5 separate regions of the Mus musculus genome follow, and all the other regions are reported to be linked to region 3. The links are microRNA targets in miRTarBase. Many come from high-throughput screens and were not tested one by one. Region 3 holds a microRNA gene; each other region holds the end of a gene's coding sequence.
What was found. Region 3 holds the annotated microRNA mmu-miR-1894-5p (CUCUCCCCUACCACCUGCCUCU, at 1,170-1,191, opposite strand). A microRNA usually pairs through its seed, bases 2 to 8, with sites in the 3' UTR of a target mRNA and lowers its output. Matches are read on the target gene's strand: a 7mer-m8 pairs with bases 2 to 8, a 7mer-A1 pairs with bases 2 to 7 and ends in A, and an 8mer does both.

Region 1 (4,119 bases), not on the chromosome of region 3:
AGAACAGCAATCAGAAGGTTAGCAATAATGTAAGGGACACCTTCTGATGGGCTTTTTGGGTAAGAAATAGACAGATAAGTCACTGCCAAATAACAGAAATTCATAATGATTGGTTGCTCAAGTAACCCAGTAAATGGCTGCTCAGAATTTACATTTAATTTCCTCATTGACTTTCTTGACATTGCATTTCACTAAACATGGACTAGGCCCACAACACTGCATCTCAGTGCTGGAGATGGGCAGGAAGGTGGGGTAGACTTTAAAACATGCGTGGTAACGAATATCAAGAGTTTTCTCTCAGTGACCTCTCCCCTGTCTGCTTCTTCCCACGACATTATAAAGTGTATTGTGCAAAATCATACATGCAGCAGCTAGGAGATTAGAAATGGCAAACATCTCTTTTTGGTCTTTTAATTTTTTTTAATGTATCATAGAGTCCCTGTAATTTAAGATTTATTTTGAGTCATTGCCCAGGATACATGTCTCCTTCTACCTGTTAACAGCTAAGATGACTCTTTTCAAATATTTGAATAGTCCAGCAACAGCAACCTTAAAAGATGTCCACTAGGCTGCAGAAGCACGGAGTTCTGGGTATCTTCCACATATGCACACTGATGGAACGGGTACAATGTGCATCCCAGTGTGCCTGGAAGGCTTCTCATGTGTCTGCTTCCAAAGGGAAAGAGCTTAAAAATAGAAATTATCTGGTAGAGAGTGAAGATTTAGAACATATTGCCAGATCTGGCACTCATGTTGCCTCTGTTTGCTTTGGGGGATATTTGAGGGCATACCTCAAAATCAGCAAAGCAATGAAGAGGTTTTTTTTTTTTTTTTATCATTTCCTTTCATTTGTCTTGAAATGTTTTTCACTAAAGAAGCAAAGAAATGCAGTGTTCACAGGATTCATTTAGAAAGGCCCCCTCCTGGCATACCCTCTGGGACTGTGAAGTCTTTGACAGTGTAAGTAAAGAACCAGGTAAGATAACACAACAGAGGAATCCAGCCCCTTTGGCCCTGTAGATAAGGATGACTTCTTAGGTTCTAACCTCTTATTTTTAATGCCCCTGATCCCTCCCTGCCTTTTTGTTTTTTTAAATCAAATTCAACTTGGTTAGTCTACTTTTGTGTTTTGGCTGCAAGAATATGTTATAAATATAACACACATGATAACTTTTAATGCCTTCTAACCTTTTACAATGAAGTCCATCAAAAACTCTAAAGAAATTATTCAAATGGTATGGAATAGGCAGGACAACCTTCCTTCCTTCCTTCCTTCCTTCCTTCCTTCCTTCCTTCCTTCCTTCCTTCTCCCCCTTCCTCTCTCCCTCCCTCCCATCCCCTCTCTCTCTGTTTCTCTTTTCCTTTCTTCTACAGAGAGCAAACCATTCAAACATAAAGTGACAACTGGGATAGGCTTGGAACAGTGCCTATCCATAATTAGGAAAGTCAACCTACGTTATTAGGTGAGCGCAGCATTTCCAAGTGCAGGATATCTGGCCCTATGTGTGGGACACTCAAACAAGCATAGGTAACATTCATGAACACTTCACTTGGGGAACTAAAACACATATAAGTGCAGGGAGATCAAAGTACTCAAAGTACATGTAAACACTTCAACACCTTATTTTTATTAGAAGTAATTCAACTGGCAGCACATTATCAGGACTAATCTGAATCTCAACAGGATGGTGTTACATTACCACTGCTATTCCTGCTTCCAGAATTACATTTGCCTATATTACTGCATGTGAGTCTTAAGTTTAAATAAAAGCTGATGTTCAACATCAAAATGCACACCCTTCAAGAGGACAAGTGTGGGGTCTGTAAACCCTTTGGCAAGAGTCAAAACAGACAGCCTAAACAGTTGCCAGCCTCAGAGAGAAATGGGAGAGGGGAATCTGGCAGCTCATTTTGATATTTCTGATGTGCTAGCAATGCTGGACATGCAGACTAAAGCCAGGGGTTGGATTTACTCACCGATATCCCACAAAACAAATTCTCTCTCTCTCTCTCTCTCTCTCTCTCTCTCTCTCTCTCTCTCTCTCTCTCTCTCTCTCTCTTTCTCTCTCAAAATAAAACAAAGTACGACCTAAATGTGTACCATCTTGAGATATAATGTATACACACCAGATCTAAAAGTGCTTCTACCAGGAAAATAGATCTGGACAAGTTACTGCTGAGTTAGCATAGAGAACAGAAGAACTGTGTGTTCTTAGATGTGAGAACTAACTACTGCCTAATGGGTTTCTCTGTTATAAGATACAATGGAAACTCACCTAAACCCTAGGAGTGAAATATATGTTAATAAAACCTGTTCCTGGCCCTTGCTTGTTTATAGGAGGTGGAATTAATTAAGAAAAATGTAGTATTTAAGTAGAATACACATCACTGTTTCCTAAAGCTCTGCCACGTGGTTATGACCTGGTTTTAGTTCTAATATGAGAAGGGACACCATATACGTTAGAAAAGCTAAAAGGCCCTCTTTTGTTTAATATTCCTTGATGTCTAGTACAGGTAAGTCCTAGAAATATAAACATTAGATGGAATTTTTATATCCTTTTCACTATTCTAAGATTTTAATGCCAGAAAAATCTTCAAGAATTACAATGACAATTTGGTAAATTAAAACAAACGAACAAACAAACAAACACACACAGAGCTCTTTCAGTATACTGGCCTTGCAGAGCCTTATCCATAATGCTTTAGGGACTTGCACTTGGCTTTTAAGTTCTAGCACATTGATAGGAGGGTGAACTGTACAGCAATGATTATGCGTTGGGTAGATTCAGCATTGCAAAGAACCCTGTCCCCTCAGTGTCACCAACTCCGGGGAATATAGTACTTCCCCGATTTATGAAAACTCCAGTCTACAGAGCAGCAACACACAGGGCTTGTTTCTCATCTAATAAAACAGAAGCAACTGGAACACCTCACAGCCAGGAATCAAGATGACTTTGAAGTACACACACACACAAAAAAACACAACTATTTATGCCTTGCGGCTATGTGAATACTATCCCTAAGAGACTTTAAATCTTTAATACTCAACTTCTGCCGAACACTTTGAAGCATAGAACTATATTTGAAAAGCGTGTGGCATTCAGGTTCTGACATTCATCCCAAGAAGGGAAAGCATAACAATAACACATCCTGAAATGCAAATTTCACAAAGTGCAAATGTCCATAGACAATGTCGATCTAGAAGCATGTTTTAAATCCAGTAGGTTCTCCTTTTACGAGACTGTTCTCTATATTAAATTTCCAAGCACAACCAATGACTTTTCCAATGTCTTTTCAATGTCTAGCTTGTGCCCTCTCATAAAAATCTGCTCATTGGTCCATACTGGAGTTTCCTAATTTTCTTAGTCATTAGCACAGAGTGTCTAGCCACATAGGGAGATCTCCTCGTCCTGTATTTCCCTATATGGAAACGTTTTACTTCACTATTGGAAGCGCATTGCCAGCTGTTAACAATGTCTTCTGTGCGAGCACAATGCAAATCTAAACAGCCCAATGGGAGGCACTGTCATGAAATTACAATGCTCCCAGACTGGAGTGGAGAAGCAGCGCACTCCCTTCAAACAATTTACCAAGTGGGCACTGGAAGGAGACACAGGAACAGAAGTCATCCAAAGAACACGGTACTTTTTTGTAAATATACTTTCTGATTGGTCCCTGGGCACAAGGAAGATGGCGGAATCATGTCTTCCCAGGAGAATGTCGCAGATGTCCAAGGTCCTTACACTGAGCTGGAGAATGGAACGACCTGCTTTCCACCCACATAAACCTCCTCAATATTTCGGTCGTCTCCTGAAATTAAAACCAAAGAATCATTTGTACTGTGCTTTTTTTTTTTGGGGGGGGGGGTCAATGATTGCCTTAGTTTCCTTTAGATTTTAAGAAAGAAAAATAAAAACCTTTAAAAGAAGAAACACAAGCCCCCAAAGGTAGAAACTTTATTCCTCCCAGATCATTTACAGTCTCCTGGAGATGACTTGGTCAAGACATCCTAGCCAGTTGAGAATTGGGGTCTCCATTCTGTATCGGAGGCGAAAATCATAGGTAGCTCAATAATCTCCCATCGCTGACCTTTCTGCTGAAGGGGCTGGCTGGCATTTC
Region 2 (4,119 bases), not on the chromosome of region 3:
GACCTGGACTGGGAGACTGTCCTATTTTAAGGCATTATTCATTACTTGAAAAATCAATTAAAAAGCTCTAGCGGAAGTATTCGCACTAATTCCCACAACCTGCTCCCTCCGCCCCACTAGAAACACAGAGCCGGAAGAGGAGGGGGTGAAGGCGAGCACGCAGAAGAGGGCTGGCCGGAAGAGGCGGGGCCTACAGGAGCGCCTTAGGGTCGCGCACGCTGGGCCACTTCCTTTCTCGGCAGCGCCGTAGAGCGCGAGCAGACGGTGCAGCATGGCGCACAGCGGAGGCCGCGGGCGGCCGAACCCGGCGTGTCCTTGGGCGTTTCCAGGTGCGAATCCTGCGGTCTGCTTAACCCCGTGTGTGCGGAGAGGGCTTCCTTGTTGGCGGCGTCCGTCTCTAGCCGGGTACGGGGGCCCCATGGCTCCCGGGTTCGGTGTGGCCCTTGGCCCGCTGTGAGCGGCGGGGCGCGTTCCCAATGGTCTCCAAATCTTAACCGAGATTAGTTATAAGGCCTGCTCCTCTGGACGCTTCGAAGTGCGGGCACAAGCGGCCGCTTCTGGCGGCAGCTTTCATCTGGGCCTGCACCCTGGCGGGAGCCCCTTTGTATCCCCAAGAAAAGCCACCATGCGGTCTGTTTCAGGCTTCCTAAGTGAGTAATCCATAGGAAATTTTACAGAGGCGGAAAAGTACTGCTTCTAAGATGTTAAGACCGCCAATTTTAGGCTTTTTTTTTTTTTTGGCTTTTTTTTTTTTTAAAGATTAATAGTTTGATCTGAAGTATTGGCATCACTCTAAAAAGCTTGTATTCATGGATCAACCCTGTAAGTACGATCTAAAGTTGGAGCAAAATTTTCAAACTATTTGAAAGCCACGCAGGGTGGGGATGCTGGCAAAAGAAGGTGGTGGTAAGTTCTGAAGCGTGTGGATACAAAAGAACACTACATTTCAGGCCTGCATGTTATACTTTACTGTTGGTATCTGTAAGCCAAATTGGGTACTCTGGATTTCTGTAAACTCAGCGTTTCAAATATGAAAATGATTAAGGATTTCTCATCGGTTTGCAGGTGATAAGTCATCACCAGTAATCGGTTCAATCATTCATTCTCTGATTTGTGACTCTGGCCATGCCGTTTCCTGTTCTAATGTCCCAGTGATGGTCTGCACAATTGCATATATGCCTCAAGCTTTTCCGTGCAAGCACCAAGACTGAGAAGCCAAGGCTTGGTACTCAGTCCTTTAAGTTAGTACTGGCAGTGAAGGGCGTGAGTAAAATGTTTTTCTGTCTGTGATGGACGGATGATGGGACAGGAACTGAAGCACCACAGGAACCTGGAGTTAGCGGATGCCGAAGCCATGGAGGATGCTATTAGCTTACGCTTTGGTTCTTAGAGAACACAGGGCCTCCAGCCCAGGGGAGGTGGCTGCCCCCTTACCCCAGTCACTGATTATGAAAATGCCTTACAGGCGTGCTTGTCCACAGCCCTATCTTAAGGATGCATTTTTACAATTGTAGCTTCCTACACCAGTGATTAGCTTGTGTCAAGGTGACATAAAAGTAGCCAGTGCACACTCATGCAAGGTATTAAAACATGGAAGTAAAATGAGAGTTCACAAATATTTTAATTTTTAGGTGCAACAAAACCTGCTCATTTGAAGGTGCTTGAACAAATATTTTCTAAACACTTGTCATGGAGAGTGATTGAAACAAGCTGCCAGGACTACATTTGCCAATAACAAGGTACAAATTGTGTGTGTGGTTTTTTTTTTTCTTTGAGGTTTGATTAACAGGGCCTTAATAGCTGGCACAATGATGACTTAAGTTTTTGCCGTTTACCCAGCTGAGTGTTTCTTTGAAGAGAGAATCTTAAAAGACTGAGATGCCAGCAGTATATAGATGATGCAAATGACTAACATGTGACGCCATTGTTAAAATGGGTTACTGTTTGTTCTCCCCAGCATGTAGGTGGCTGTAGTGGATGTCCAACTTTGGGAGCTGTGATGTCTAAAAACCCTTTATTGTTTTGGGTAAGTTTGCTTAATCAGTCATGTATCTGGATTCAATACTGTTTGATAACACTGAGGGGCTGGGGCCAGTTCGTTTTGAAGATCATTAGGGTGAACACCTGGGCCTAGTTTGAGATGGAAGAAAAATGATTTGGGGTTTCTGACTTTTTTTTTTTCCTTTTGGGAAGGTGCAGCTTACATATTGGAAGGTAAAATGAAGGCCATGAACAAAGTCAAGAAGCCATAAACAGAAGCAAATGGTGAAAATTAATATCTAATTTAATATTAATAAGTTATATATAAATAAACAGTTATTCTTAATTGCTGTGGGCAGTAATTTCTTTAAAATGTCATTCTCGTAGTAAAATAAACTCGTCTTTCATGAGCTGCGGACTTTTTGTCAATGCAATCCTGATGGCTGGCTAGTAAGTAGCCAGTAATGCACAGCAGGAAAGAAAGTGATTGGCAATCTGTCTAGGATCACTTGAAACTCTCAAACTGGATTTCCTCGAGTGAAGACTTGGCTAAATCTTTAACCAATAGAATCCCTAAGTTTAGTAAGTAGCTTAAAAATTCAACATTCTGATGACTTGGGCCTTTGTAAGGGCTGGGGAAGTTTAACTGGCTTAACAAGGCACAAAGCTCTGGATTTGATTCCCAGGATAGAAATTTCGAACATTAGGCTTTCCAGGTGTGTTGGCTGTTTAGATAAGAATTGTTTTGTTTTTACCCTAGAGACCTAGACTTAACCACATCATATGAAAAGGCACAAGGCAAGTCTTGTTTGTATGTACTATATCATTAACTTGCTGTTCAGATCAAGTACCAAAATACAAGGTGCTGTGGGACCCTGTAGTACCTACCACCTCCTGGCAGGAAGACGACTTGACCCCAGGAATGTTGTCTTTAGTGTCACTTTGGTTGTATCCAGCAGAAGGCATATATAAGATTTTCACAGCTTTCCTTAACTCTCCACATTTAGCTTTATAAAGCTATATGCCCATAATGCACATGTTAAATAAAGAAAAGCCTTACATAGGCACTTTGGGTCATTAAGTTGCACTGACTTGAACTCATCACTGGTAATTAATGAGCTCAAGCTGGGTATGTTGGTAGGTAAAGTGTTGCTACCTGATGGGTGGAATGAACAAAACCTTTTTCACACTACAATGTTCTCTACTGTGTGTGTGTCCATGATATATATACTGGAGTTTTTGATGTCAAGCTCCTTGGTAACATAATTTCTGTTCTTGGTTTAGATGTTGGGTTAGTTGCAAATTTGTAATTATGAAGGGGCCACATTTCATACTCTAAATGACATTCTAACAAATAACCTTGAGATGATACATAGTCTGAACCATTACTCTGAAATCATACATTTACCAAGGCTTATGGGGCATGAAAGGTAATTTTTCCTTTTTTTTTATTAGGTACTTTCTTCATTTACATTTCCAAAGCTATCCCAAAAGTCCCCCATGCCCTCTCCCCCTTCCCCCCTCCCACTTCTTGGCCCTGGCGTTCCCCTGTACTGAGGCATATAAAGTTTACAAGACCAATGGGCCTCTCTTTCCACTGATGGCCAACTAGGCCATCTTCTGCTACATATGCAGCCAGAGACACGAGCTCCTGGGGGTACTGGTTAGTTCATATTGTTGTTCCACCTATAGGGTTGCAGACCCCTTCAGCTCCTTGGGTACTTTCTCTAGCTCCTCCATTGGGGGCCCTGTGTTCCATCCTATAGCTGACTGTGAACATCCACTTCTGTGTTTGCTAGGCCCGAAAGGTAATTCTTAAATTGCTTATTCATCACTAGAAAAGACAGTTGTCCCAGGTCCACATGTGGCAATAAACTGTTGGAGCTGCTGTTGGCACTGAGTCAGGTAGAGATCTCTTTGCTCTAAATATTCTTCATTATACAGCTCAAATGGAAATAATGCATTGGGAGCAACACAAAATGGAGTGGCCCCTAAATGAAGAACAAAATAGTGTAAATGAGACTTTAAAAATGGAGGTATGTTTCAACAAAATGAGGATTTAAAAGTTAACTACTGAATATTGAGTTTCATCATAGTTTTATTTTGAGTAGTCTTGGCTGGCTTGTGTCTACCTCTGAG
Region 3 (4,119 bases):
AAGCTGACTGGCAAAGGAGAAAAACAAAGGAGAGGGACGCCATTTTGTTATGGAGAAGATTCAAAATTTAAAAGGCCGGGCAGATCTGCCGGTAGCTTTACTTAACACTGTAAGGCACTAAGTTAAAAAAACAAAAACAAAAAACAAACAGAAGCCATCCCTCTGACCACCACCCTCAACTTGACCTATCTTAAATCAGTTTAAGAGCCTATTACTGAAAATAAAATCAATTAATATACAATTTTCTGCGGGATAAGAATCTGAATTTGCAACTAAAATTCAACTTACTACCGCCGACCATCCCAATCCTCCCTACAAAAGCCAAGTGGTAGGACTTGGACCCCTCAACAAATAGGACCGAGGGGGGAGGACAGGAGAAAAATGGGTCAAGACACAACCTGCAACGCCGCTTGCAAGACAAAAGGACAAGCAAGGAAAAGTCGCCATATTTGAAGCAGGGAGGAAAAAAAAAATCTTTTAACGACACAATCTTCTAGAAAGATAGCATTCAAATGCACTAATGGCTTTTAAAATTATACTCCTGAGTTCCACATTTCCCAACCTTTCCACCCTCTTAGCTGTATCCACCACCCACTAAAAAAGTATCAAGTTAAAATGTTAATCACTTTTGCCTTTAAATAACCTATGCAAGCTGAAACAATCACAAGACATTCTTTACCTCCCCAAATGTTATTGTATGTACTTGTTACTATGATTTTTGCCCTAAATTTAAGTGTCTTGCAATCTTTATTCCTAGATTGCCACCTATTTTAACCACACAATATATCCCAAGCAAATTACATTAAAATAGAGAGGATTTAACAGTCACTTTAAAGACATAGCCAGCTAATATTTCTCTGCCCATCTCCTTACCCTGCAATCTTTATGTACAGATTGCTTATTAATCTGGCAAATTGAAAGGCGTTCTGCTTGTCTCACACACAAAGAAGTGGGACTTCTGGGCCACAAGATCCACCATCTTTTGTATGTGAGCTCATTAACCCTTTTGAAGACTGCTAACCAGAGGAAGGTAACCATTCCTCCTTATTATCGCAAAGGCTTATGCTCTGGCAGTCTGGAAATCTGCTGGATTATCAAGGGTTAACCGTCAAAATCCTCACTGGCTGGCCCTCCCTTCACCCTCTCCCTTGCCTGCTCCACAGCAGGGAAGAGGCAGGTGGTAGGGGAGAGAGAACAAAGACTGTTTAGACCCACAGGACCTTTAATGGAGATTTAAGAGACCCGATTGGTCCTTCTCTCCAGTACTCTACATTTGTTCTATGGTCTCATTTCTTCCTCTCATTATTTTTGGTTTCACAACGGGAAACGTTGATTTCTTGTTCAAGGCTGGTTTTTGAAAATTCGACACTTACTATCCAATTTTTTTGCGACGTCAGCACCTCGGGCTCAGGGGGGAGGGGTAAAATTTTGGAGGAAAAAAAATAAAGCAACCAACCAGGACCCAAACTCAGTTACTTGTGGGGCCTCATTGGATCAAAAAGTCTCTTTTAAAAAAAGTAAAGACCAACTCAGTTTTCATTTCCCCCCCGCCCAACTCCATTTAGGGAGAGGGGGTCGTTGAAAAAAAAAGTCTGAGTGGATTCCAAAACGGAAATGCTGGATGAGTGAGATTGGGTAGGTTTGGGCAGGGAAGGTGGTTGATTATTTTTGAAGTTATGTGGTGACGGTCCTTCGGCCACAGATCTCAAGTCCCAAGCAGCGTGGGCTGGTGGGGTGGGCAAGATAGGTGGGGAGGGGCAGAAGACACGAGTGGTTGGGCTGGTGGCTGATTTCCCTTTCCCCCCTCTCAGGATCCTTTCAAGGGTTTAGATGTTGCTGAGGCTTGTTTGTTTTCCTGATGGCCGGCCTGTCTTTCTCCGAGAAAATTCAACCTGGGGTAAAAGGAACACAAAAGGAGGAAGGTGTAATCAGTACGGGTCGCCTTTAAACGTTTCAAAGTTGTCGCAGGACGCAGCCGCATTAGGGAAAAACGTGGCTGCCCATTAAATCCGAAACCACCCCGTTCCCCCGGCCCGCTCTCGGCAAAACGTTACCCTCCAAAGCGACGGAGCACCCAAACTTACCTCTAAACGAACCCCAGAATGGCGGCCGCCCGCTCGGGCGGAGTCTTTTATACCCGGCCACCGCCCAACGCACCCTAACGTGATGGAGAACCGCCCTCGCCGGGACACATTGTGCGCGAGGCGAACTCTGATTGGCCAGCGTGCGAGCCGGGTCGCCCGCGGATTGGACGTCCCTCCTCCACCTTCCCGAAGCCCCCTTCCCTCGGTTCCCCTCTTCCGTCTCCTTGCTATCACCTCTACGCCAGCGCGTGATCGCCGCGTCCGGCACCTCCCTTTCCTCTGCCTCCACCACTTCCGCTCCGGCGACCCGGGGTCGCCCTCGGTTGGCCGAAACGGCCCGACGCATGCGCACTGGGAGCACCCTGGTTAAAATCGCAATCAAATCTGCTTTCATGTTAGACACTAACCATGGAATCTAGGATTCATCGTGACTGGTCCGGGAGAAATGCAATTTTGAAGGCTGGTTCGATTGTGACGCAGTTTAAATTCGCGTCTGTGGACCCCGCCCCTTGACGCTTCCGCCCTTAGACATGTGAGCAGCCGCCTTCCGCATTGCGGGGCGTGTCCTTGGCCCACCCTAGTGCGTGTCCCGAGCATGCGCAGTCGCTCTTCCGGCAGGCCGTACGTCCGGTGTGCGTCAAGATGGCTGCCCCCTTGCGGCACACGCTTCTAAAGCTGGTTCCTACACTCTTACGAAGTTCCTATGTAGCTCAGGTAAAACGTTGGAGGGGTTTTCTCTACCTCCCCGTGGTGTCTATACTTTCGATCTTCCTTCCATTAGGAGGAGTCAAGGGGCATGGGTTTTCCCACATGTCTACGTGTCAGCCCTGCACCAGCCTCCGTCCCCTACGGCGCGCGATTTCTAACTACCGAGCGTTCGGGTCAGAGCCAGGGTTACGGGTTATCATCGTCGTCTCCCGACTACCATTAGGCAAAAGAACTAAATGGTGGGGTTGCCCCTGTGGAAATGGGCAGTTTGTAACCAGGTCGTTGGTGCCTGAAGTGGCACCCAGGACGTGTTTGGTTTTTTTTTGTTGTTGTTGTTTTTTTTTTAGCAAAGGACCCTATTTTAAGGATTTTCCCCGGTGTTCGGGAGACAGCCCAGGTTGGTCTCATAGGTACTTTCTGAGCTTTCTACCTCTCCCTCCCAGATTATGGAATTAAAAGCAAGTACACTAGTCCTACTCCACCTCGTCACACGTCATTTCCCCATCAGAGCATGCTTGAGATCATTCTGCTCTCTGGATTGAGATTGCCCTTTAGCCTCAGGTACTCACCACCCTGGAGGTTCTCCGCAGGGCAGGGAGGAATAGGAAGGCTTGTCTCGACGCCACTCCCTAAAATGGGACTACAGAGTAGTGACAGAGGTTACCACCGAAGTAATAACAGGCTTGGTGGCTTTAAAGCTAGCGTTAGGACGCAAATTTGTTTTGCTCTGTGGAATGTTGACCTGCAGCATTTTAAGAAACTGATCAGCGCAGCGACTTTGGGGTTTTCTCATCTGTATGAATCATGCCCAGCTCTCCATTATTAATCTTTGTGTTTTCTTTTTATTTATTTATTTTTGGTATTTTGAGACGGGGTTTCTCTGTATAGCCCTGACTGTCCTGGAACTCACTTTGTAGACCAGGCTGGCCTTGAATTCAGAAATCCTCCTGCCTCTGCCTCTCTGCGGAGTGCTGGGACTAAAGGTGTGCGCCACCACGCCCAGCTTTCTTTTCTTTTTTTTTTTTTTTATTAAGAGATTTATTTATTATTATACATAAGTACACCGTAGTTGTCTTCAGACACACCAGAAGGGGTTGTCAGAGCTCATGGGTGGTTGTGAGCCACCTTGTGGTTGCTGGGATTGCTCTTACCCGCTGAGCCATCTTGACAGCCATTATCAATCTTATTTCCAAAAGTTTGGCATTTTTTTCACACCATAACCAACCAGTGCTCATCAAACGCAGATATTTGTATGCCAAGGTTTTTAAATTGTCACATCCCACTAACATCTTTTACCTTGTTGGCTTATCCTGCAGGGTCAGCTTGG
Region 4 (4,108 bases), not on the chromosome of region 3:
AAACATAAGACTTACAGCCTCAGGCATGGAGGTTGGATGTGTAAGCATGCAGGCACAACACAGTACTAGTCAGCGCTTCATCACTATAACACAATACTGGACATAATCAACTTACAAACAGAAAGGTTTGTGTTGGCTCACAGCTTAGAAGTTTCCAGTCCGTGATCATTTGGTTCCATGCCTTTGAGCCTGTGGCAAGGCACTAACTACATCATACCAGAACAAAACCATTCACTTCATCACCAGGAAGCAAAAGAGAATGAGGAGATCCCACAAGCCTCTTCAAAGACACACCTTCAACCACTAAAAGACATCTCAGCAGCCCACATTTCTTAAAGCTTTACTCTTGGGACTCCTCTATTCTCGCCTATTTCTCATAACTCAACTCAGAGATCAAACCACTTTAACGTGAAAAGGCACCTTCAGGACTTTGGCTGTCAGGAACGTAACACAGAAACAACCCACATGGTCACATCACTGAAGAAGCTTACCGAAGGGAAACAGACCACTTACATTGTTATTTCACAGTATTAGACACAACCAAAAATCCCGTTTCAACATCTTAACCTTGAGACTAGGTAAGGGGTCACCAGCTCCTTGCTGTCTGCCACGTGGATGTCTCTGGTAGGCAGGAAGGTGCAGCTTCATTTCTCACAGGGCCCTAATGGTACATGGTACGTGAGCTGGCCTACGTGCTGCCTACACTTTAAAAAGATGTACATTCAATGAATCTAGAATACGTGGAAGGCCTGTGTTCGAAGCTGAATTGTCTTGGCAGCTTTCAGACTCTCAGACTTGATGGCCCAGTTTTGTAGATAATATTTTGGCTCAACACTTTGGGTAACCTGAACTTAATTCAAACCTATAGACTGCATCTGGCCAAAAACCCCAACCAAAAAAACCCTACAGCTCCTCCTGGGTTCCTACAATAGATATTGAGACTTGAAGATAGAAAGATCCAGACCGGGCCAAAATGGTAACAGATTAAAAACAATGGAGAGCTTTGCTTTAGCAGTCACAGGAGACAATGTACCTGCTGGAGAATACGATTTTTGTCTCAACCTTACAAATTCAACTTTGCTAAAGATGGAGGACTCTGGGAGATTACAAAGGGATCAGCCTGTGAAGTTTACCGAGGCCTTCAGGTATGTTATGAGGGGAATGAGGTCAAACTGTCATCAGCATAAGCTAGTGGACTTTATTATGAATTTACCTAACATCAACAGCATAGGTAGAGCATAGGTAGGCTCTAGAGAATGTCCCTTTAGTTGGGCTGTCACCACCAATCAGTTAAGAACTCAATAGTCCTCTGATTCCACTAATGTCCTAGACAGACAACAGTCTGGAGAAGTATTCTGCTAACCAGCTGCTCCTCCCTTGAGCCATGCAAGTCCATCCATCAGATGACCACTCCATCCCATCAATTCCTCCAGCACGGTCACAGAGCCTCTCTCTACTCAACTGCACTTAACATTTTTGGCCTACATACCCTCTTTTGTATGTACTAAGAACCATAGTGATGCCATTACCATAATATTCCAATATCTTTAGCTGGTCTGATTTCTCTGTCTTCTCTCGACACTTTCTGTCTGTGCTTCCAAATGCTGTATCTAAGATTGTTCTATGCCAACTCTATAAGTGTGCCAGTATGTGTATCTGTGTGGGAATAGTTCCATGGTTTTCAAGGGAAATACACAGAACATATAACCAGGCAGAGTATTTGGGGTTCACATTGGTCAAGGGTTTGTAGAGCGACTTCTGGAAAAAGTAGCTCTGAGGACTGTGGGATCATAACTACTATTGGGCCACTGATTGTGACCAACTGTGTCACCCATTACACAGAGAGGCAGGCAAGGTGGCAGTTACCCCTCTCTTCAAGTGGACTCACATGTACTATTCTGTAAGTAAAAGGAAGAGAGAGAGATGCTGGAGGCCCAGAGTTTCTCATACAATGTGGAATGTTCTCCAAAGGAGGGGCCTGAGTGTTAGACATTTTGCTAGATGGCAGAAAACAAAACACCAGACACAGAAGCATCTAATAGCACTAACCAGATGTCCACATATCTGTAGGAAGAGACCTCCTAGGTCTCTTATAGACAGTGGATCTCTTTCCTGATGGATGTCCTGAACATTACAGCAAGTTGGGGGAAGAGGAACCGCCACTAAGAAACAGAATGTCATGCTGAGCAAGTGTGGTCTTGCTTTCAGCAGACTTAGCAGAATCTAAGTTACATCCATATTAAACCCATTCCTAGGAACATATTTCTTTGATCCTTTGTAGGAAAGAAAGAGCCAGTCTGTAACGCTGTCATGCAAGTAGAACTGTTTCCAGTCATCTGTCTGCTGTGGGTGAGGGGTCACCACCAGGCAGGGAATACTGCTGGGCAGAGGGGGAAGAGCCCAGAGATGGGCTGAGTCCAGTTTGAGGGAGCACAAGACAGGTTCATCCCATTCTGGATCCTGGGAAGAGACTTTTCAGATACACTGTCTGCTCTCTGCTAAGGAAAGGACATAGCCGTTCTGCTATGAATTCTTACAAATTATTTAATTAAGCTATATTATAGGGAAGGATATATACGTGCTATGTACTTTTATGTTATCCTCCTTGTGTACATATACATATGTGATTATATAATGTTGTACCACCTCTACACAGACATGGCTGGTTCTAAGGATGAAACAGTGGTTTAAGAACCTGGATGAGAACTTTATTATATAGTACTTTATACTTTTGGCTTTAAACCACAAGTGTTATTATCTATGGAAAGATAAATTAATAACCAGGCTGGGAATGTAGTTCAGTTGGTAGAGTATTTGGTTAGCATGCATGAAGCCTTGGGTTCAATCCCCTGTACCACATAAAATCCAATGTGGTACAAGTCTGTAATCCCAGCACTTAGAAGGTGGAGGCGGCAGGATCACAAGTTCAAGGTCATCCTCAGCCACATAACAAGTTCAAGGACAAGACACATGAGACCCTGTCTCAAAACAACAATAAAGAAGAACAAAAAATCAAAAACCAAATTTCAAAATTATCAATAAAATATTTTTAAAAATCTGGACATGGTGGCACATGCCTTTAATGCCAGCATTTGGGAGGCAGAGACAGCCTGTGTGTTTAAGGCCAGCCTGGTCTACATAGCAAATTTCTAGGCCAGCCATGTCTATATAGTCTCAGAAAAAAAAAGGGAAAACAAAACAACAAAACAGAAAATAAAACACAAAACTTTCATTTTATCATACTCTAAGGTATAGGTGGTATTGGGTAGTTATACCACCTTAAAAAAAAAAAAGCTGTGTTTGTTTGTCACAACCTGTAATCTCAGCTACTTCGGAGGCTGCGGCAGGAAGATCCCACGTTGTTCAAGGCCTGTCTATGCTATAGGGGGAGTTCAAGGCCAGCTTGAGCAACTTTATGAGATCTTATTTCAAAATGAAGAAAGCTGGGGATATAGCCCAGTGGTACAATGCTTGCCTTAGCATCTGCAAGGCTCAATCTCTCTCTCTCACACACAAACACACACACACACACACACACACACACACACACACACTCCTCTCTCTCTTCTCCCTCCCTTACATACTCTCCCTTCTCTCTCTCTCTCTCTCTCTCATACACACACACACACACACACACACACACACACACACACACACACACAGTCTTATGAGTTCTTTTCAACCGTAATTCTTACACTTAAATACGCATTCCAAACTAAGCCCAGCTGTAGCTGGGCAGTCTCTGCAGCCTCCTGACCCCTCAGATCTAACTGTCACCTAGGATGCGGTTCCCAGGTGGAGAAAGTTGGTCCTCCAGACCTTGGGTGAACTTAGCGGCAAAGAGAGAAGAGGTGAGGTCATCTCCCATCTCCAGAGCGATGTCATATGCTGTCTGGCCTCTTGTGTTCTTCTTTTGGGCGTTTGCATTGCATCTGCGAAGGAAGTGGAGACACAATCACTCAGGCGTATGACCCTCAGAACTTGACCCTTCCTTGCCTAGAAGCCAATGTACCCCATAAAAGCCCCTAAAAAGACACTATGGCTTCAACTCTCAGAGTGACTCTACTTGTTGGGGTATACTATGTAAAAATGTGTCTCTGTCTTTCCT
Region 5 (4,119 bases), not on the chromosome of region 3:
CACCAAGGGCACTGTCTCAGGCAGATGCCCAGGAGCCAAAGGCTCTTAAGAGAATGTACTCTAGTCATGCTCATGTAGGGGGTGGGAACCTCCATCTGGGGATACACACCAGGCTTCTCTGTCACACCCAACAGTAGTGTCCCAGATGGGAGACCAGCCAGTGTTTTGCCTTTTCAAGTTTTTATTTTTATACATTTTTTTTGTATTAAAAAGAAAAGCATAATAATTACCACCAATTACAAAGGACTAGAGCAGGACCAGAATAATGAATGAATCACTTCAGCCTGGGAAGCAGACACTCTCAATAATATTAATGTTATAATACAAGCTCATTCAAGTATTTTACATTTTTCTTGTCCTGTTGATGTGATATCCTAGCACATGGTAAAGACAATATATGAGCGTAGGTGGAACCTTCTCTGCAAAGCCCATGAGAGTTTTCCTTTCCTGTGAGAACTGGGCTCAAAGTTTTCTTCTGCCTCTGCCGTAACCATGGCTGGAGGAGAGGGTGGGAGCTGGGGAAAACCTAGGGGCCCTGTGACAAGAGACTCTGGGGTCCCATCCAGGGGACAGGGGAACCCAAGCCTCTAGCACTCCCCACCATTAGCCTTGTCCTCAATGCCCTTTCCCTCATGTCCAGACCTTCCAAGCAGCTTGCCTTCTTTTGTAAATGTCATCAAAAAGGAGTGGGAAGGAGCTACAGAACAAAAACATTGAACAACTTGACCCGGGGCTCAGCACCTGTCTGAACCTGCGGTCCAGGCTGGAGCAGGGCCAGGCAGCCTTCCCTCCGAGTAGCAAATCTGCTCTGAGGCTCACAGGTTTGCAAACCACCATCTGCCCCTTGCTGGGGCCAGGTGGATGTCTAACCCTGCACAGGCAGAGGATGAAGGCGGTTCCATTTGGCAGGCTGTCTGTCTTAGGTCTTGGATTCCATGGGAAGATGGTGATGGGGAAGTGGCTTGCTCTGGTGCCCCACCCCCACTCCTGGCATACTTGTCACAGATACATCGGTCCTAAATTCAAGTGTCTTCAGAAGGTGAAGATGTAAACTACTCCGCAACATCAACTCTTAACATGTCACAAAAAATACACACACACACACACACACACACACACACACACACACTCCCACCCCTCCTCAGCCTGTGTTGAGATGATAGCCTTGCCTTCCCACCCCAGAGGGGCTTCTTCCCTCAGAGGGTCTGGGAGGATCTGGGAGAGAATGGCAACCCTAGTCTGGATAGCCTAGATGGAAACCACCTTCCCTGATGCTGGGCCTCAAGCCCTGAGGTTCTGTGGTGCTGGATATACAGTAGAGGGCTGAGTGAGGAGAGGAGAGGAGAAAGGGAAGCAGGGAGCCCACTGTTTGGTGAAGGTGCACCATAGGGCAGGTACCAGACTTAGGAGAAGGCCTCAGATCCCAGCAGCAGATGATCCTGTTCCCTTATTTGTTTGCGACAAGTGAGTCACAGGAGCTGACAAGGGATTCCCACATCCTAAGCACCGGGAGGACAGAGTGGGGCAAGGCATGAGCTCAAAGTAACAAGGTGCCCAAAGACAGAAGGCAAGCTCTTGTCAGCCTGGGATGCTGTGTCCCAGTCCCAACTTTTGGGACAATAGAGGAACTGGGCGATGAGGAGGGTCACACAAATTTCAGTTAAGCTAGCAAAAAGACCACACCCCCTTGTGCCACCTAGGTCCAAGTGTAGGGTTAGCATGAAGTCTCCCAGCCTGTGTGCTCAGTCCTTCATTACCCTCCTCAGCTCCTGGTGACAGCAGCCTCCAGCCACTCCTCTGGCATCTCAAGTGCAGCTCAGGCAGTCTGGCTTTTGAAGAGAAGTCAGGTATACTCTATGTCCACATATACCTTCCTGCCATGGGGCTTCACCAAACGGTAGGATTCCCCAGCCCTTGGTTCCTCTCACCCCCTTGATCCCAGGCAGGGCCAATGAGAGGGTGGGCAGAGATGGCTTGCAGGGGGTGGTGGTAATAAGATGGAAAGACAACACCAGACCCTTAGAGAATGGTACCTTTTCTCCACCTCCTTGAGGTCAAAGGTCGTTAAGGTTAGACACAGACCTAAGCTGTGGACATCAGTGGGTGTTCAACCCCTTGTTCTGGAGTTGGGGAGATGTGCACACTGAGGACAAGTGTGTACCAGGCAAGACCAATTATGTTTACAACAGTCTGAAGCAAACTTGGCCTTGGGGTTTCCCAGGGCTTGGCTGGGCGGGGCGGGGCGGAGCAGAGCTGAGTGGGCCTGGAGAGGCGACAGCAAGCACAACAAGGACAGTGGCAACAGTGTGCAGACACAGGACATTGGCTTCAGACAATGCAACAGCAGGGGTGTCCTGGGCACAGCTCTGATAGAACTGCCCCAACTCTTGCCTCCAGGTAGGAGGCCCCGTACATGCAACTCAGTCTCGAGGAAAGTTCTAGTCAGTCCAAGTCCAGGGACATCCCGGGCAGGTGGAGCTCTTCCGGAGGCTCAAGGAAAACAGGCATTTGGGCATTAGTTCAGGTTCCCGCTCCACAATAAGGCAACTTTTAAAAAAATATTATTTCCAAAAACAGAACAGAAGAAAAATTCCAAGGAGGGGGAAAGACATCACTTTCTATGGAGTAGGTGGGCTCTGGTTTTTTGTCTTTTTTTTTTTTTTAAAGTGGTCGATTTTGTCTTTTTTTTTTCTTTCTTCTTTCTTTCTTTTTTATTTTCGTTTTTGTTTTTTTTTTGTTTTTTTGTTTTGTTTTTCTGTTTTCCCAAGGATGGAAAGGTCAGAGAAAAAATAAAATGAATCATCTTTCAATAGTCTCTTCTGGTGTGAGCAGCGTCTCTGGGGTGGGGCGAGGGGGCGAGGGGAGAGGCTGAAGCTCCCACCCCCACTGAGATCCTTTGGTTTCCTTCCCCCAGAGGTGGCAGAAGGGCATGTGGAACAGCAGGGACACGGTGATGGCAAACCCCAGGTGATCAAGGGGCTGGTGCTTCTGGGGCCCATGGGCACCGCCAGAGCCTTCTGGTGGGCTGCATAGTTGGCTTGAGGGAAGCGGGAAGAGGCAGGGGAGACAGGTCGGCATAATAGCCGCAGGAAGGGCTAAAGAGTGATTTTGGTAATCCAGACAAACTATCAATAATTTAAAACTTGATATATATATATGTATATATATATATATATATATATAAAATCTCCCCCCTTCCCCTCCCCCCTTAGAAGTTATGATGGAAGTCATGGTGACAGGAGGGATGGGGTACTTGGAGGCTCCTGCCCAGGAGCACCGCTAATAGCCCAAATGGTATACACTGCTACTTAGCGCAAAGGCCCATTCTTAGTACTCTAGGTCTGTCCCTTCTCTTGTTCGCTCTTCTGGGCACCCCACAGATCCTCAACCACCCCACCCCTCTATCACAAACCCCAGGGGGCTTCAGGCCATTCACTTTCGCAAAGTCAGTGTGTCCGAGTGCTGGCTTGTCCATTTGGCATCTTCTCGAGTGGCCTGGCCAGTAGGTGTCGTAGGGGGTTGGCTGATCCCAGTGGCAGGCCTGCTGGAAGACTGGGAAGGGCACCGCTTCCTGCCCTCTCCGCTGCCTCCTGCTACCACTGGGTGTCGCTTGTGGTTGCCTTCCTCGCCCATGGGGGGCTGTAACAGAGGAGTCACAAGTGGTCAGAGAACACTAGCCACACCACTTTCCAGAACCAATCAGGTCTCCGTTCCATCTCCAAATGAGGACAATGGTTTGATTTACATCCTGTCCTTTCATGTGGACAGTACCAGAAATAAGGAAACGGACCAAACACATAATTTGTCAAAGGCTTCCTATATTTAGGTCCATATCCTTAAAGACCAGAGTTTGACCCTATAAATTTTTGTCCCCTTCTACAAAGGGTCTCTTAGGAAAAGACCTGTGGTGTGTGGAATGCTACATGGTGCATGTATTGGCTCCACAGGGAACTGTCTTATTCCAGCCTTCACCAGGCCCGTGAGCCAACAATGAAGACTGTGATTCAGCTTGCCCTACTATCACCAAATGCCACCCAAACTATTTTCCAGGTACTAAGTTCCAGCCATTGGTCCTTAGCACACATCTCCTCCCCAGAGTAGTTAAGAACAAGCCCAGTT

Region 1: the mRNA of Gda is a reported target of mmu-miR-1894-5p. Seed matches in the 3' UTR shown: 8mer at 1,306-1,313 and 7mer-m8 at 307-313.
Region 2: the mRNA of Mcmdc2 is a reported target of mmu-miR-1894-5p. Seed matches in the 3' UTR shown: 7mer-m8 at 3,487-3,493.
Region 4: miRTarBase lists Dzank1 as a target of mmu-miR-1894-5p. Seed matches in the 3' UTR shown: 7mer-A1 at 3,566-3,572.
Region 5: the mRNA of Larp1 is a reported target of mmu-miR-1894-5p. Seed matches in the 3' UTR shown: 7mer-m8 at 3,187-3,193.

The regions. Positions count from the first base shown.
Region 1 is chr19:21,391,449-21,395,567 of GRCm38, forward strand. Gda (guanine deaminase) reads right to left here. Exons shown (of 14, transcript NM_010266.2): 14 at 1-3,810. The coding sequence ends at 3,740. Among named protein-coding and RNA genes, the nearest start is that of Gda, 79 kb to the right of the region's middle.
Region 2 is chr1:9,940,230-9,944,348 of GRCm38, reverse strand. It overlaps Mcmdc2 (minichromosome maintenance domain containing 2), which reads right to left. Exons shown (of 15, transcript NM_177722.3): 15 at 3,395-3,971. The coding sequence ends at 3,805. It overlaps Snhg6 (small nucleolar RNA host gene 6), which reads left to right and starts at 231. Exons shown (of 4, transcript NR_024067.2): 1 at 231-329; 2 at 1,632-1,739; 3 at 1,958-2,026; 4 at 2,194-2,324. It overlaps Snord87 (small nucleolar RNA, C/D box 87), which reads left to right and starts at 1,806; the gene lies at 1,806-1,879.
Region 3 is chr17:35,914,971-35,919,089 of GRCm38, reverse strand. It overlaps Mir1894 (microRNA 1894), which reads right to left and starts at 1,201; the gene lies at 1,121-1,201. Mrps18b (mitochondrial ribosomal protein S18B) reads left to right here and starts at 2,650. Exons shown (of 7, transcript NM_025878.2): 1 at 2,650-2,798. The coding sequence starts at 2,727. Ppp1r10 (protein phosphatase 1, regulatory subunit 10) reads right to left here and starts at 1,894. Exons shown (of 19, transcript NM_001163818.1): 1 at 1,374-1,894.
Region 4 is chr2:144,471,158-144,475,265 of GRCm38, forward strand. It overlaps Dzank1 (double zinc ribbon and ankyrin repeat domains 1), which reads right to left. Exons shown (of 21, transcript NM_172859.3): 21 at 1-3,932. The coding sequence ends at 3,767. Among named protein-coding and RNA genes, the nearest start is that of Gm46768, 53 kb to the left of the region's middle.
Region 5 is chr11:58,058,079-58,062,197 of GRCm38, reverse strand. It overlaps Larp1 (La ribonucleoprotein domain family, member 1), which reads right to left. Exons shown (of 19, transcript NM_028451.1): 19 at 164-3,639. The coding sequence ends at 3,433. Among named protein-coding and RNA genes, the nearest start is that of Gm51897, 32 kb to the right of the region's middle.